Saccharomyces cerevisiae S288C: one gene and its partners. The gene in region 1 interacts genetically with each later gene. Each region holds a gene or a part of one and is shown on either strand. Other genes may lie near its edges.

Region 1 (3,736 bases):
CGCTTATTTAGTTATTGAGGACAAACTCCAAGTTCAGCGCCTGCTTTCAATCTGTGAGCCCTTAATAATATCAAGAAGCGGACCGCCCGCAAATGTTGCATCCTCGGATACAAATGTAGACGAAGTGTTTTTTAATCGACATGATGAAGAAGAATCCTGGATACTGGACCCAATACAGGAAAAGTTGGCACATTTGATTCATTGGATAATGAACACTACTTCTCGGAAACAAACAATGAAAAACAAAATTCAATTTAGCTTAGAAGCCCAATTGGAAATATTACTTCTTATTAAATCTTCGTTCATTAAAGGTGGCATCAATGTTAAATACACTTTTCCAGCAATAATCACAAATTTTTGGAAACTGATGAGGAAATGCCGTATGATACAAGAGTACCTTTTGAAAAAAAGACCCGATAACAAGACGTTACTTTCCCATTATTCCAATCTTTTAAAGCAAATGTTTAAATTTGTTTCTCGTTGTATCAATGATATCTTTAATTCTTGCAACAACTCATGCACAGATCTGATTCTGAAACTGAATTTACAATGTGCCATTCTAGCTGATCAATTGCAATTAAACGAAATTTCATATGATTTTTTCTCACAGGCCTTCACAATATTTGAAGAGTCTCTAAGTGATTCAAAGACTCAGTTACAGGCTTTAATATATATTGCTCAGTCTTTACAAAAGACAAGATCACTCTACAAAGAAGCTTATTATGATTCTTTGATTGTCAGATGCACACTCCATGGATCCAAATTATTAAAGAAACAAGACCAATGTCGTGCTGTTTATTTATGCTCCCACCTCTGGTGGGCAACGGAAATTTCAAATATTGGTGAGGAAGAAGGTATCACAGACAACTTCTACAGAGATGGTAAACGGGTGTTAGAATGTCTACAAAGGTCTCTCCGTGTGGCGGATTCTATAATGGATAACGAACAGAGTTGTGAGCTAATGGTCGAAATATTAAATAGATGCCTCTACTATTTTATTCACGGGGATGAGTCCGAAACTCATATATCGATAAAATACATCAATGGTCTGATCGAACTAATCAAAACAAACTTAAAATCGCTAAAACTAGAAGATAACAGTGCCTCTATGATTACCAACTCAATCAGTGATTTGCACATCACCGGAGAAAATAATGTGAAGGCAAGCAGTAATGCTGACGATGGCTCTGTAATCACAGATAAGGAATCAAATGTTGCCATAGGATCGGATGGTACGTATATTCAATTAAATACTCTGAACGGATCTTCCACGCTAATACGCGGAGTCGTAGCAACTGCTTCAGGTAGTAAATTACTGCACCAACTGAAGTATATCCCAATCCACCATTTTCGACGCACTTGTGAGTACATTGAAAGTCAAAGAGAAGTTGACGATCGTTTCAAAGTCATATATGTATAGTTAAATAACGTACTTGCTCTTCGTACATGCCCAAGATAAAAAAAAACTACACAAATAAAGCTAATAAAAATTTACCTAAAGAAGGATCATAGATTAAGTGGAAGGAAACTTGTACATAATTCGAGTTTATTTTCAACTAAGATATCAAGGATTGTTTACTATAAAAACACTTAATTGGGTAATTTCTATTTTTTACTTTTTTTCTGTGTTAAAAAAATGGGTCGCGCCAATGCGCTCACAAATCTATTCTTATCCCTAACTTACATCTACATGTAAAGCGCCACTAAGAGAGCTATAGCTTATCATACATTTACATCAGGTAAAGTATCATTTTGGCCAGTGGATACGAATTTAATATATAATCTTTGCTTTCCCTTCGCTCTTAAATTCACCAAGCAAGTTTGTTAAGAAATAAAGGAAAGGGGGCTCAAAAACCGAATCAAGTAAGACAAGAAACATGGGGTACAGTACTATTTCCAACGATAATGATATCAAAGTATGTGTGATAATGGTTGGCCTACCAGCTAGAGGAAAGTCTTTTATTTCCCAAAAAATTATCAGGTACTTATCGTGGTTATCCATAAAAGCCAAGTGTTTTAATGTGGGAAATTACAGAAGAGACGTGAGTGGAAATGTCCCAATGGATGCTGAGTTTTTTAACTTCGAAAATACAGATAATTTTAAACTCAGAGAATTGGCTGCCCAAAATGCCATAAAAGATATTGTTAATTTTTTTACTAAAGAAGACGGATCTGTGGCAGTTTTCGATGCTACTAATAGTACACGTAAAAGAAGGAAATGGCTTAAAGATATATGTGAAAAGAATAATATTCAACCGATGTTTTTAGAGAGCTGGAGTAACGATCATGAACTGATTATAAATAACGCTAAGGATATCGGTAGCACATCTCCTGATTATGAAAACTCTGAACCTCATGTGGCGGAAGCTGATTTTTTGGAAAGAATTAGACAATATGAAAGATTTTATGAACCTTTGGACCCCCAAAAAGATAAGGATATGACGTTCATTAAGTTGGTCAATATTATTGAAGAAGTAGTAATTAATAAGATCAGAACATATTTGGAAAGTAGGATTGTATTTTATGTTATGAATATTCGTCCTAAACCAAAATATATCTGGCTCTCCCGTCACGGCGAATCGATCTATAACGTAGAGAAAAAAATTGGCGGGGATTCATCACTGTCTGAAAGAGGCTTTCAGTACGCTAAAAAATTGGAGCAGTTAGTGAAAGAGAGCGCAGGAGAAATAAATTTGACCGTGTGGACTTCCACCTTAAAAAGAACACAACAAACGGCAAATTATCTTCCCTATAAGAAACTGCAATGGAAAGCACTTGATGAATTAGACGCTGGCGTTTGTGACGGAATGACGTATGAGGAAATTGAAAAAGAATATCCTGAAGATTTTAAAGCACGTGATAATGACAAATACGAGTACAGATATCGTGGTGGAGAATCATACAGAGATGTAGTGATTCGTTTAGAGCCCGTCATTATGGAATTGGAGCGCCAAGAAAATGTTCTCATTATAACTCATCAAGCCGTACTTCGGTGTATATATGCATATTTTATGAACGTTCCACAGGAGGAATCCCCTTGGATGTCAATCCCACTACACACATTGATCAAGCTGGAGCCTAGGGCCTATGGCACAAAGGTCACCAAAATTAAAGCAAACATCCCTGCAGTGAGTACATATAAAGAGAAGGGTACAAGCCAAGTAGGTGAGCTTTCTCAAAGCTCAACTAAACTTCATCAACTGCTCAATGACTCTCCTTTGGAAGACAAATTTTAAATTTTACTTTTTATTTTTGTGTATCTTAAGTCCAAGCTTACTTGTGGCTGATACGCACAATCTTTTATGTACGAAAAGATCAGGAAACGTAGCATTGATGGTTTTTTATGTACGTCTGCAGCATTGTATGTAATTATTACCCAAACTAATTTTAAGTGAAATTGTAGAACGCCGCGGCGGAAGTATTTTTGAGTAAAAAAAAAAAAGTAAGATTCGAAAATGAAATTATACAGTACAGAAAACGTAAATATACAATAAAGGTTGAATAAACATACTAGATATCCTCCTTTCTTTTTGCATGTACATAGTACTGGTGTAAACTCGATATACCGATGGTCAGATTTTTTGGTTTAAACAAGAAAAAGAACGAAGAAAAGGAAAATACAGACTTGCCTGCAGACAATGAACAAAACGCAGCAGAAACGTCGTCTAGCAACGTATCTGGAAATGAAGAAAGAATAGACCCAAACAGTCATGATACGAACCCTGAAAATGCAAAC
Region 2 (5,415 bases), on another chromosome or scaffold:
TAACTGGCAATGGCCAGTCACCGTGCCAAGCGTGCAAGTCAGTGTGACAGACACCAGAGTATTTAACGTTGATCAACAATTCGTTGGCCTTTGGCTTTGGAACTGGAATATCTTTGTATTCCAACTTACCGTGGGATTCGTAGAAGATAACACCTTTTTGAGTTTCTGGGATAGACATTGTATATGAGATAGTTGATTGTATGCTTGGTATAGCTTGAAATATTGTGCAGAAAAAGAAACAAGGAAGAAAGGGAACGAGAACAATGACGAGGAAACAAAAGATTAATAATTGCAGGTCTATTTATACTTGATAGCAAGACAGCAAACTTTTTTTTATTTCAAATTCAAGTAACTGGAAGGAAGGCCGTATACCGTTGCTCATTAGAGAGTAGTGTGCGTGAATGAAGGAAGGAAAAAGTTTCGTGTGCTTCGAGATACCCCTCATCAGCTCTGGAACAACGACATCTGTTGGTGCTGTCTTTGTCGTTAATTTTTTCCTTTAGTGTCTTCCATCATTTTTTTGTCATTGCGGATATGGTGAGACAACAACGGGGGAGAGAGAAAAGAAAAAAAAAGAAAAGAAGTTGCATGCGCCTATTATTACTTCAATAGATGGCAAATGGAAAAAGGGTAGTGAAACTTCGATATGATGATGGCTATCAAGTCTAGGGCTACAGTATTAGTTCGTTATGTACCACCATCAATGAGGCAGTGTAATTGGTGTAGTCTTGTTTAGCCCATTATGTCTTGTCTGGTATCTGTTCTATTGTATATCTCCCCTCCGCCACCTACATGTTAGGGAGACCAACGAAGGTATTATAGGAATCCCGATGTATGGGTTTGGTTGCCAGAAAAGAGGAAGTCCATATTGTACACCCGGAAACAACAAAAGGATATCCGAAATATTCCACGGTTTAGAAAAAAATCGGAAAAGAGCGCGGAGGGGTGTTACCCCCCTTCTCTACTAGCATTGGACTTTAATTAATATATGTGCATAGGAGAAGTGTAAAGTTCCCTTCCATATTGTAACATAATAAAGTGCACACCCAAATGAATTGAAAGCGTACTCAAACAGACAACCATTTCCAGTGTTGTATGTACCTGTCTATTTATACTGGTAGCAACCCTATTGCTGTTTCCTCTTCAAAGTACTCTAGCGGTTATGCGCGTCTCACCTTCAAGGTCATGGTCGCTCTATTGTTCGCACCACCGGCAAACTCGCGTCTCGCAAGTCTTGGCTCATTCTTCTAGTATACTCATGTTGCAAATGCACTCAGGTTCTTTCGGCAACTTAAATAATGACACCAGTTGTCGTGGTCGTCATCATCGCAACCCCAACCGGCATTCTTATTGCTTCTCCAATCTCGCCCCTTAGCGCAGGGTAAACCTTGGAAAATGCAGGCGCAAAAAACTCCGCCGGGCACAGCCTCACGCCCAGCGTTATCGCCGGGCCGGCAAGAGCGCGGGTCCGCCACAGAGTCAGCATGATTGTGCAATTGCGTAAACTCGTTTTTTCGGCGCCGCAAAGCCAAATACATCATATCAACACTTTTCACTTTATTTTTCGTTCGACCCTTATATTTGTCTTTTGCCTTCATGCTCCTTGATTTCCTATTTCATTTACCATCATTTCTTCGATCCCCCTCATCGTGATGTAGTCAACCCTCTTCTTGTTTTAATACGTTAATCTCCCTGAAATACTTTAAATACGTATGTGCGCAAGTGCTTAGAAACATGTATACATCGAGTATATATATATGTATGTATTCGCTTGATGTGGGTTCTTGGTTATCTATCCTTTATTGTATTTACTATGTCTACTACGTCTACGATATTTAGCAAATAGTACTCCTTTTTGTTATACTATTATATTAAGTTATATTTGAGCACATCATATTCAAAGCAGCGAAAGGTTAGATATTTATAGCACATACGTACTATGGCTGACAGTTCTTCGACTTCGGCGTTCATTTCAACCCTGATTATCTACGGTCTTACCGCCGTCGTGTTTGTCTGGCTCTTTTTGCTATTGCGGCCCAAGAATAGAAGAGTATACGAGCCACGGTCTCTTAAGGACATTCAGACTATTCCGGAGGAAGAGAGAACGGAACCAGTTCCTGAAGGCTACTTCGGGTGGGTTGAATATCTACTCTCGAAACCGCACTCGTTTCTCATCCAGCACACAAGCGTGGACGGCTATTTTCTGTTAAGATATATCGGTATCGTGGGTTCACTTTCGTTTGTGGGCTGTTTGCTTCTTTTACCGATATTGCTTCCCGTGAACGCTACCAACGGTAACAACCTTCAAGGCTTTGAACTGCTATCATTTTCAAATGTTACCAACAAGAACAGGTTTTACGCGCACGTTTTCCTCTCGTGGATCTTTTTTGGCCTGTTCACCTATGTCATCTACAAGGAGCTGTATTACTACGTCGTGTTTAGACATGCTATGCAGACAACACCACTCTATGACGGACTGCTGTCTTCTAGGACGGTTATCGTCACAGAATTGCACAAGAGCATCGCTCAAGAGGGGGAGATGCAAATGCGTTTCCCCAAGGCTTCCAATGTGGCCTTCGCGTATGATCTCTCAGACTTGCAAGAATTGTGTAAAGAAAGAGCTAAGAACGCTGCGAAGTACGAAGCTGCGTTGAATAAGGTTCTAAACAAGTGCGTGAAAATGACCCGAAACAAGACCCAAAAGCAACTTGACAAGTTGTACAATAACGGTACCAAGCCAAAGGACGATTTAGAGACATACGTGCCACATAAAAAGCGCCCTAAACATCGTTTGGGAAAATTGCCGCTTTGTCTAGGCGGCAAAAAAGTTAATACGTTGTCTTATTCTAGTAAAAGGATTGGGGAATTGAACGAAGAGATTCATGAAAAACAAGCCGATTGGGCCAGTAATGATAGGCAACCTGCCTGCTTTATCCAGTTCGAGACTCAATTGGAAGCGCAAAGATGCTACCAATCTGTGGAAGCAATCTTGGGTAAGAAAAATTTTGGTAAGCGTCTTATTGGCTACTCGCCAGAAGACGTTAACTGGGGCAGCATGCGTCTCAGTTCAAAGGAGAGACACTCCAGGAGAGCTGTGGCAAATACAATCATGGTGTTATTGATTATCTTTTGGGCTTTCCCCGTTGCTGTGGTTGGTATCATCTCCAACGTCAATTTCCTTACCGATAAAGTTCCCTTCTTACGTTTCATCAACAACATGCCCACCTTCCTGATGGGTGTCATTACTGGTTTGTTGCCTACTATTGCGTTGGTCGTTTTGATGTCTCTAGTGCCACCTTTTATCGTAATGTTGGGGAAACTTAGTGGTTGCGTCACTAGGCAAGAAACGGATCTATACTCCCAAGCATGGTATTACGCTTTCGCTGTGATTCAAATCTTTTTAGTTGTCACCGCTACCTCTTCTGCATCTTCCACCGTTGACTCGATTATTGACAGACCAAGATCCGCCATGACACTATTGGCAAATAACTTGCCAAAGGCATCCAACTTTTATATCATGTACTTCATATTGAAAGGTTTAACTGGCCCCACATGGACGATCTTGCAGGCAGTTAACTTGCTGCTAAGTAAAGTCCTAGGTAGAGTGTTGGATTCTACCCCAAGGCAAAAATGGAACCGCTACAATACTTTGGCCACGCCGCGCATGGGCATTGTTTACCCAGGCATTGAAATTCTGGTTTGCATTTATATCTGTTACTCGATTATCGCCCCTATACTGCTATTTTTCAGTACCGTAATGTTGACGCTACTTTATGTGGCGTATTTGTACAATTTAAACTACGTGTTTGGCTTCTCCTTCGATTTAAAGGGGCGCAATTATCCAAGAGCACTTTTCCAGATTTTTGTTGGAATTTACTTGAGTGAAGTATGTCTGCTTGGACTGTTTATCATGGCAAAAACCTGGGGTCCTTTGGTCCTGGAAGTGTTTTGGATCGTGGTCACTGCCCTAGCTCATATATATATGAAGAGGAAATTCATACCGCTATTCGACGCAGTTCCTTTAAGCGCCATCAGACATGCAAGAGGTGAGCCCGGCTATTCCTATCCTACATCGGACTTGGGTCTCCAGGAAATCAAGGACATTGCAGATGAAATGAAGGGCAAATACGAACAAGACAATACACACGGGATTTTGACGCCCGTGACCAAGGATGATTTGAAAAAGGCCAATCTGATACCAGATAACGATGGCAGCTCAGAGAACGGTACTCCTAGTAACCCCTTTGAGTCTGGTTCTGAACGTGCCTCTCTCTCTGGATCGAACGCAGAGAGTGACTCGATCAAGAAATTAAATGATACTGTTATCAAAAAATCAAGCACTCTCTCCTCCTCTACCAAGGACAACAACGAATCTACTTTTGTTCCAGAGGGTGAAAAGTTTCGCAAGTTTCACTACAGCGATGTTGAGGCATTGAGAAATAAGCGCCCTTATGATGAGGATGATCATAGTAAACATGGACCTGAAGGTGCCGTGCCAGTAAACGCTGACGCGGGAGTTATTTACAGTGATCCGGCAGCTGTCATGAAAGAGCCTCAGGCATTTCCTCCGGATGTTTTGGAAACCAATACTTGGACAAGAAGAATTCTACAATTCTTCAACCCAAGAAGGTCGTATCCTTTCGACAGTGTCAGGATGAGATTCCCACTTGTTTTCAACACCAGCATCGAATACGATGAAGAATATTTGAGCTCTGCTTATACCGATCCATGTGTCAGAGAGAAAGATCCCATTGTGTGGTGCTGTAAGGATCCGTTAGGAGTTTCAAAACAGCAAATTCAAGAGGCTAGGTCTAATGGCTTAGATGTAAGAGATGATTTCACAAGGTACGATGAAAAAGGAAAAGTCATATTCACTTACAACCCTCCTGATTATGAACCTGAGGCTAAAAAATGATGAATTAGCTTCATTCTTCACTTCTATCTTTTTCTTTGATTTTTTTTTCCCTAATGCATACATGATTTTTACGTCTTTATATAATACTGTTCTATTCATATTCTAGCCTAGTTTAATTATAATAATATCTATAATGTTTTTTTATATATCCGCATATCTGTGAGCTTGGGTATACAGAAAAAAATGGCACACGCACCCCTAAAGTAGGTGGGGAGGAAAAAGGAAGTAAGAGAAGGGAAAATCATATGAGAGCATCCAAATAGATCACTCTAAAAAATATAAACAGGCATGAAACTCAGTCAGTCAAATCAGAGTTAATATTGTAATTATCTGAAACTAGTTCCTATAGGTTGAGTGTCTATCAAAAATTTACGGAGACGCGATGAAAATTGCGGTAGAAACGACACTATTCGACTTCTTTGTCATCGATCAGTTTAAAAAATCTACTTTTTCAGCGCCAAACACCAAAGTTGACACTATTAAGGGTTGTATTAACAAGT
Region 3 (4,405 bases), 480 kb from region 1:
TTATGAACGTTTTTCTAGGTTTCGAGCAGGCTAATAGGTATGCCATAATGGATGTGAACGGAAACAAAATAGCATCAATGATGGAAAGAGATTTTTCTATAACAAAGGCCATAATGCGGCAGTTTTATCGTCTACATCGTCCTTTTTTGGTAGATGTCTTTGATAATTGGGGAAATGTAATAATGACGATTAAAAGGCCCTTTTCGTTCATCAATTCTCATATAAAGACTATCATACCTCCTTCCGCGTATGTTGATAATGGCAGTGACTCCACTCACTATCACGACGGTAAAGAAGGAACGACAGTAGGAGAGACCATTCAGAACTGGCATCTCTGGAGGCGTCGTTACGAATTATTCCAGAAAGATGGAGTAGAAGGATCCACTTTTGACCAATTTGGTAAGATAGATGCACCTTTCTTATCATTTGATTTTCCTGTAACAGATGCTGATGGTAAGATAATGGCGAGTGTAGACAGAAATTGGGTTGGTTTAGGAAGAGAAATGTTTACCGATACTGGTGTTTATGTTGTTAGATTTGATTCGCAGAGATGCTTTGATAATATTTATCCTACTGAGATGCTAAGTTCTCAAGTACTAACTTTGGATCAAAGGGCCGTGTTATTAGCAAACGCTGTGTCCATCGATTTCGATTATTTTTCGAGACATTCCAGACAAACTGGAGGTTTCCTTTCTTTTGGCGGTGGCTATGATGAGTAGGTGAATTATATATTTAAAAGAATTCTGTAAATACATATTTGACTACGCAGTAATAAAACAATTATTATTCCCAATTAGGGCCCAATCCTAGCATAGCAAAGTTTAATACATCTTCTTCATTTGCATTTTCCATATATGAGGCGACTCTCACTCTAACTAATTCCTGTTCAATCAAATCGGTGGCAGTTGGGTCACTCTTTCCCAAATAGAGGGGTCCGCTCAAATTCCTTCCATCCAGTTCAAATATCCCTCCGTTCTCTTCCACATATGTGATATAGTGTAGATTAGTATCTGCAGTTGCTTCTGGTGCTTCTGACTGGCCAGTAGAAAATGTTTGTACATTCTCTTTTATTACATTCAAGACGAATTGGTCGGTAGTAACATCATCAAACCTATTCTTCGAGCTTGAAGTATCACTTTGAGATTTTAAAAAATTGTCCAAGTCGGAGCCGGGCTCCAACAATGACTGGTTATTGCTCAAAGAATGAAGAATTGCATACAATCCGCACGCATTTTTGACTGATTGCTTAAACCATATAACATCATAAGAACTTGTAATTTGTTGACTGGTACTCGATTTTCTATCCTCGTTTATCGGAAATAGCAGCACAATGGCCTTCACTGGCCTTGGTAAGAATGCTAGTAACTCTGGCTCTGTTAAGCTATAGATATCGAAATACGCCCATTCATTTTTTAAACCTAATTTATGTGCAAAATTTGTAAAAACTTCAGGGTTTGATTCAATCGGCACCACAGCACGATTTTCTCCGCTCATACTTTTGCTATTGTATTTTTATAACGATTGTTACTTACTTGTTGATCAAAATACCCTTAATATCTCTTAAGTATGGACTTCCACCTTTATAGTCGACTAAATAAAAATACTTCTACTGAGGAAGTTTAAAACACGGAAAAATTGTTCCAGATCATTATCTGCACTGGTTTTTGGGGCGTTGATAGGCATGTTCACACTTCCTAACTCGACCACAGACATCTCCAAGAATACAAGGTACTTCAATCCGGGTAATAAAACGTCAGGAAGTTTTGAGAAGTTAATAGCTCATCACTGCATTCTCAAAAAATGCTTACAACTCTATGACGCCCTTAAAAAGAAAGGACTGGGTAAGAATAGCCTGCCTATTTTGGTGATACGTAAAAGAATCAACTTGTAGAGGTTAACTGGGGAGTATTACAATGATGGCAACTCCGGCTACTGATCTTATTTCCGATAATGATAAATATAACAAGCAATGTCTTTCTGATTCAAGTGATAGTGGTAGTGATGTAAGCTTTTTTTCCGTAAATGAAAGCGAAGGTGAATTGGATACAATGGAGAAAGTGGATACCTTGATTGGAGGTGCAAGAGTTATAAGCAATAAAGTAGAAAAAGACAGCGATAGTGAACAAAGGGGAAGAAAGAAGGAAACAACTGGGCCCAATAACTATCATAATTTAGAAGAGAAGCAAGCGAGTGCCATTTCTCTTGACGCTGATGATGAAGATCTCGATGAAATTATTTCTTATTCGCATGACGGGAACTATGACAGCTCTCATAAAACTTTCTCCTTTTCCTTACCATTTGGTAATACAAATTTCCGATCAAGTTCACCATTAGCCATAATTAAAACTGTGCTTCCCAAGACTCCAGATGAGTTCATCAAAAAGAATCTAAGAAAGAATGAGATCAAGCAAAAACTGAAAAAATCAACCTCCATTTCTTCCTTGGAAGAGATAGAATTATTTAAATACGAAAGGGGCATTGATAATTCAAGGTTAAGGGCTGTTAAAGAATCTTTGGAAATGGATGCCTTGAAGAACTCCATTAAGCAAATAACAGCAGACCCATTCGACAAAACTCATGACGGATATTACCGTTCGCGTTTAGAATCTATATGGAATGAATTGGAAGGAGATGTCGTTATAATGGGTGGATATCGAGGTAGTGTGCTAAGGGATGCTACTACTCATAAGCGAATTTGGATCCCATTAAAGGCAGGTTTGAATATGACGAAAGTCGATTTATTGATCGGACCTAATGACGAAGATGAACTTAAAACTCAGAAGGAGATTGTCCCTGATGGAATGCTAACACATATAGGGCCTGTTGATATCTCTAAGAGGTTGATAAAGAGGCTAGACGCAAATCCTAATTTAAATGTTCAGCAGTTTGGCTATGATTGGAGATTATCCTTGGACATATCTGCCAAGCATTTAACGACTAAACTAGAGGAAATTTACAATAAGCAAAAAAATAAGAAGGGAATATACATCATTGCCCATTCAATGGGCGGATTGGTCGCACATAAAGTGTTGCAAGACTGTACTCATTTGATAAGAGGTATTATTTACGTGGGTTCCCCAAGCCAATGTCCAAATATTTTAGGTCCTATTAGGTTTGGAGATGATGTGATGTGGAATAAAACTATTTTCACTAAAGAAACCAACTTTTTTATGAGAAGTAGTTTCTATTTTCTACCGTTAGATGGTAGATGTTTTGTTGACAAAATTACCTTAGAGAGGTATGATTTCGATTTTTTTGATACAGATGTTTGGAAAACCCTTGGCTTGTCACCTCTCGTCAATGAGAAAAGAGAGGAATCAGCTCACGAAAAATCAAAATTATTACCAAGGAAAACGAAATCAGCGCTTTCGCTTAAAGCTACCCTAAACGCAACTACCAAGTTTGTCCTAAATGCACCTGTTGTTAGGAATGTAGCCGGCAATAATAAACAGGTACCAAGGGATGTGCCTTTCGATGAAGTCTTCCATACATCTTATGAAGATAGCTGTGAATATTTAGCGAGAACTTTAAAACGTACAAAGAATTATTTGGATAGCTTAGATTACGACCCGAACAAAGAATATCCTCCATTGGCCATGGTTTACGGTAACAAGGTTCCCACTGTTAGAGGTGCTAAAGTGAACGGTATACAAGATATAAAAGATGGGAATTATGAAGATTTTTACTATGGTCCGGGCGACGGTGTTGTTCACCATAAATGGTTATTGCCTGAACAGAGAGGCTTTCCAGTTGTTTGTAAAATCGCCAGTTCTTCAGGTCATGTTAGCTTAATGACGGATTTGAAATCAATGGCAAAAGCATTCATATCTATCGTCGACAGCGAAAAAGAAGGAAGAAGATCTCGAACACGAACTTCTTCATGAAAGGCTTTTTATTCCTTTGTTTACTATTCATATCTGCATTTTTCTTTTTACCAAAATTCCGCATGTCAAAAAAAATCTGGCAACGCACCGCGAATAAAAATAAATAATATTTTTTTATCTTTAGTTGCCTAAATACTATTTATTTCGTCAATTTTACAACCTCTTTTATATACACCATTCGATTTCCCACGAAGTAAAATAATAATTCTATAAACAGATTTATCTGATATGCTCAATTTCCCCTCCCATTTTCATTATTGTCCTTCTTGCTCTTCCTCGATGTCAAAATTAACCTTCAGCCATAAGCTGCATGCGCTACATTGGGTTAATAATTGATAACCAGAATGACTCCGTTCCATAGCGTCTACATTATCAATGCATTCATCTAACAAACTCTCACTAAAATGAAAACCACCAACAAATTGACAGCGAGGACAATTCATCATAAACTCCAGCTTATCTTCATCAAATGAGAAATCGTCTAAGGAAAATTCATCCAGCCCATCACCACAATTATGAAA
Region 4 (4,028 bases), on another chromosome or scaffold:
TTCGTTTTGGCAACTAATAATAAACTACATTAAGTAAAATGCAAAACTTCAAAGTGCGGAAAAATGTATTGGTATATAAATACTATAGACAGAATACAGAGAATCCGTATCATTTCAAAGGTTCATTACTTAGTATCTCCGCAGGGAGGATTCTGTTGTTCGCACTTCTCTGCTGAAAGCTATCCTCCTCCTCATCTTCCTCATCTTCATCTGAAATGGCGATGCTAAAAGAATCTACCATTCGAAATATATCAGATCTATCCATTGCCTTTCCATCAAAACTCAATTCAAAGCTTTCGTTGGCATTTGTGGAAACACTGGCCCCGGCTCTCTGCTTCGCATTGGAATTAGGGAGATTCTTTACGGGCTTGCTGTTACCTTGCAGCTGCTTTTGTTGCCGTAACGTTGATGTCAGCTGCACTCCGCATAATTCGTCTAGTGATTTTGAGATCCGTGTCTTACTATTTGTGGACAATTGAATAGGTTGCAAGAAGTGATAGTTTTTCTCAAACTTCAACGAAATTAGCAGGATTATGATTTTTTTGGATATATCGTCTATCGTTTCGTGCACTGGAGATGGTAATTTATATGTGGTAACGACGGACCTAGGTAAGATGCACTTCTTGATGTTGAAATTTGTTTTTGATTTCGTGGGAGAATTCGTCAACTTAGGTGCCACACTAGTGCTACTTCTTGTACCATACAAATCAATTGGCTTGGTAAAATACCGTTTCTTTGTACACGTTCTGGAAGGAAAAATAATTTCATTTATGCTGCTCACTTCCTTCGTTTGATTGAATTTAAGAGATTTAGAATTTAAATGCGACACCGACTGATGATGCGGATGGGAATTTACATTGGTGTTTGCAGCGCCCATGGTATTTGTATATCTAGATGGCCTGTTATTATTACTGCTACCGCCCCCGGTATAATGGTCTTCATTAACTCCTTTATTAACCTGCGAAATACTGTTAAACCTTGGTCTCAGGTTTTTTGTGGGTGACTCTGGATAATAGAAAAACTGCTGGTTGGAATCGAAAGTCGCTTTTTGTTGGAAGCTCAGGACTGGCTGCTGATTCAAATTAAACTGCGTAGGAGGCAGGACCAGCCCACCGCTGTTATTGATGTAAGATGATTTGTTATTGAGCGTCCTTCTTGGCGACACTGATGGACTTGGGCTCATTGCTACCTACTTTTTTTCTTACTGACCTAAGGCTGCAGGTGCAAGAAAAGAGTAAAAGAATGTTAAAATACGTTTTGAAAGGTCTCTGTTTTCATGTACAATTGAGGGATAAAAAAATCTTTTCTTTCTTTCAATGCGGATGATTGACACTTTCTTATTTTGTGTTTTTATTTATGTTCTTTCCTAATCTGGAAAGCATATTAAAGACCGGCGCTACCCGGTTAAGTAATCATACACGTGAAAAGCACGTGAACAACAAAGCACTTTAAAACTCATATACTACGCATTTAAAGAATGCTAAAACGGCAATTGCCACTGGGCACCATTTAAAAGGTCAATAATGAATCTGTGACCTTTCTTTGCTATAGCATCACTACAACTATGTGTTGCTTGTCGCTAGCAACGAACCTATTATTCCTTCGCTTTATTGTCGAAGACCACAAAATACTCCAAAGCAATAGAATGTCTCTTTCCGCAAATAACTTACTCAGGGAAACAATACGAATATGTGCAGATTGCCGATCATTGCTGAAATGCCTCAAAAATATGCATTTTCTCATGACCTATTCATTCGGACCAATCATATGAAGGCATTGAACGTCCGGGTAACCACAATAAGAGTGCTCCCCCTTAGCGCTCTTGGTTATTGCCGGTATTTGCAACGTCGACAGGGTATATATAAGATGTATAGGGCATAGTGGGGAAGGAGTTTTAACTACCAATTGAGGAGTTTCAGGTAGGGTGTCAGTTTCATCACATCATCGAATTACACGTTTACCCAAGAGAAGAAACTAAAAACCACTATGCTATCGAAGAATTTGTATAGTAACAAGAGGTTGCTCACCTCGACGAATACGCTAGTCAGATTCGCTTCCACCAGATCCACAGGGGTGGAAAACTCCGGAGCAGGTCCTACATCTTTTAAGACCATGAAAGTCATTGACCCTCAGCACAGCGACAAACCAAACGTGCTGATACTGGGTTCGGGGTGGGGAGCTATTTCGTTTTTAAAGCACATTGACACCAAGAAGTACAACGTTTCCATCATCTCTCCTAGAAGCTATTTCTTATTTACGCCTTTGTTACCTTCTGCACCAGTTGGGACAGTAGACGAAAAGTCAATTATTGAGCCCATCGTTAATTTTGCTCTCAAGAAAAAGGGGAACGTTACCTACTATGAGGCAGAAGCCACCTCTATCAATCCCGACAGGAATACCGTTACCATAAAATCATTATCTGCCGTTAGCCAGCTATACCAACCTGAAAACCATCTAGGGCTGCATCAAGCAGAACCTGCTGAAATTAAGTACGATTATTTAATCAGTGCTGTAGGTGCGGAACCTAACACATTTGGTATTCCTGGGGTCACTGATTACGGTCATTTCCTGAAGGAAATTCCCAACTCTTTGGAAATAAGAAGAACTTTTGCCGCCAATCTAGAGAAGGCTAACTTATTGCCAAAGGGTGATCCCGAAAGAAGAAGACTACTGTCCATTGTCGTGGTTGGTGGTGGGCCTACTGGTGTAGAGGCCGCTGGTGAACTACAGGATTATGTTCACCAGGACCTGAGAAAGTTTCTCCCTGCATTGGCCGAAGAAGTCCAAATTCACTTGGTCGAAGCTCTGCCCATCGTTTTGAATATGTTTGAGAAAAAGCTTTCATCATACGCGCAATCACATTTAGAAAACACTTCGATCAAAGTACATCTGAGAACGGCTGTCGCCAAAGTTGAAGAAAAGCAATTGTTGGCAAAGACCAAACACGAAGACGGTAAAATAACCGAAGAAACTATTCCATACGGTACTTTGATTTGGGCCACGGGTAACAAGGCAAGACCGGTAATCACTGACCTTTTCAAGAAAATTCCTGAGCAAAACTCGTCCAAGAGAGGATTGGCAGTGAATGACTTTTTGCAGGTGAAAGGCAGCAACAACATTTTCGCCATTGGTGACAATGCATTTGCTGGGTTGCCACCAACCGCCCAAGTAGCGCACCAAGAGGCCGAATATTTGGCCAAGAATTTTGATAAAATGGCTCAAATACCAAATTTCCAAAAGAATCTATCTTCAAGAAAGGATAAAATTGATCTCTTGTTCGAGGAGAACAACTTTAAACCTTTCAAATACAACGATTTAGGTGCCTTAGCATACCTGGGATCCGAAAGGGCCATTGCAACCATACGTTCCGGTAAGAGAACATTTTACACCGGTGGTGGCTTAATGACCTTCTACTTATGGAGAATTTTGTACTTGTCCATGATTCTATCTGCAAGATCGAGATTAAAGGTCTTTTTCGACTGGATTAAATTAGCATTTTTCAAAAGAGACTTTTTTAAAGGATTATAGATGAAATTAACATGCCCTTTTCTGGAAAAAGGAAAAAAGGTGGTAGGCACCGTTTTTTCCTGAGTTTGCATCCTTTTTTTTCTAAAACCCTCTAAACAAAACCTAACACACACACACACGCACAAAAAAATGCACATGATGTTTTATTATTTATATATTCCCACTTTTTTCGAAATGATGCTTGACTAATGCACAAGCAAAAAACCCCGACAAGATTGGTTGATCACTTCAGCTTTTTCCTCCCATTGTCCTATATATATATCTGTGATTATTTATTTCTTCCTCTTATGTTTCTCTATTTATTTTATACGCCAAATCCCATTTGTATATACGTAACGAAAGCTTTATAATTCTTATGCCCCGCAAACACTCAATTGCCGAATGTTTCGTCTACTCACCTCAGTCATTGGAAAAACTCTTTGGCTTTTTTGATGTTTTCCAATACTAATTCTTGTGGAATATTCATATCTTTCAACACTATAAAACACACCATATTGGAC

The links.
Region 2: mutations in FBP26 (region 1) and PHM7 together harm fitness more than expected from each alone (negative genetic interaction), as found in Saccharomyces cerevisiae (one large-scale study listed by BioGRID).
Region 3: mutations in FBP26 (region 1) and YJR098C together harm fitness more than expected from each alone (negative genetic interaction), as found in Saccharomyces cerevisiae (one large-scale study listed by BioGRID).
Region 4: mutations in FBP26 (region 1) and NDI1 together harm fitness more than expected from each alone (negative genetic interaction), as found in Saccharomyces cerevisiae (one large-scale study listed by BioGRID).

What each region holds. Positions count from the first base shown.
Region 1 is NC_001142.9:128,785-132,520, reverse strand, and holds FBP26 (fructose-2,6-bisphosphatase), read left to right. Parts: upstream 1-1,877; coding exon 1,878-3,236; downstream 3,237-3,736. Other genes in the region: retromer subunit VPS35, read left to right, coding at 1-1,420; SSY5 (Ssy5p), read left to right, coding at 3,569-3,736. UniProt on the Saccharomyces cerevisiae protein: Monofunctional, high-specificity fructose-2,6-bisphosphatase, which releases phosphate from the 2-position of fructose 2,6-bisphosphate. Has no detectable 6-phosphofructo-2-kinase activity.
Region 2 is NC_001147.6:160,417-165,831, forward strand, and holds PHM7 (Phm7p), read left to right. Parts: upstream 1-1,939; coding exon 1,940-4,915; downstream 4,916-5,415. Other genes in the region: alcohol dehydrogenase ADH1, read right to left, coding at 1-178; YOL085C (uncharacterized protein), read right to left, coding at 1,257-1,598; ATG34 (Atg34p), read left to right, coding at 5,298-5,415. UniProt on the Saccharomyces cerevisiae protein: Acts as an osmosensitive calcium-permeable cation channel.
Region 3 is NC_001142.9:612,665-617,069, reverse strand, and holds YJR098C (uncharacterized protein), read left to right. Parts: upstream 1-1,913; coding exon 1,914-3,884; downstream 3,885-4,405. Other genes in the region: AIM25 (Aim25p), read left to right, coding at 1-719; ubiquitin-specific protease YUH1, read right to left, coding at 784-1,494; JJJ3 (Jjj3p), read right to left, coding at 4,139-4,405.
Region 4 is NC_001145.3:27,766-31,793, reverse strand, and holds NDI1 (NADH-ubiquinone reductase (H(+)-translocating) NDI1), read left to right. Parts: upstream 1-1,986; coding exon 1,987-3,528; downstream 3,529-4,028. Other genes in the region: YML119W (uncharacterized protein), read right to left, coding at 110-1,183; Rag GTPase GTR1, read right to left, coding at 3,932-4,028.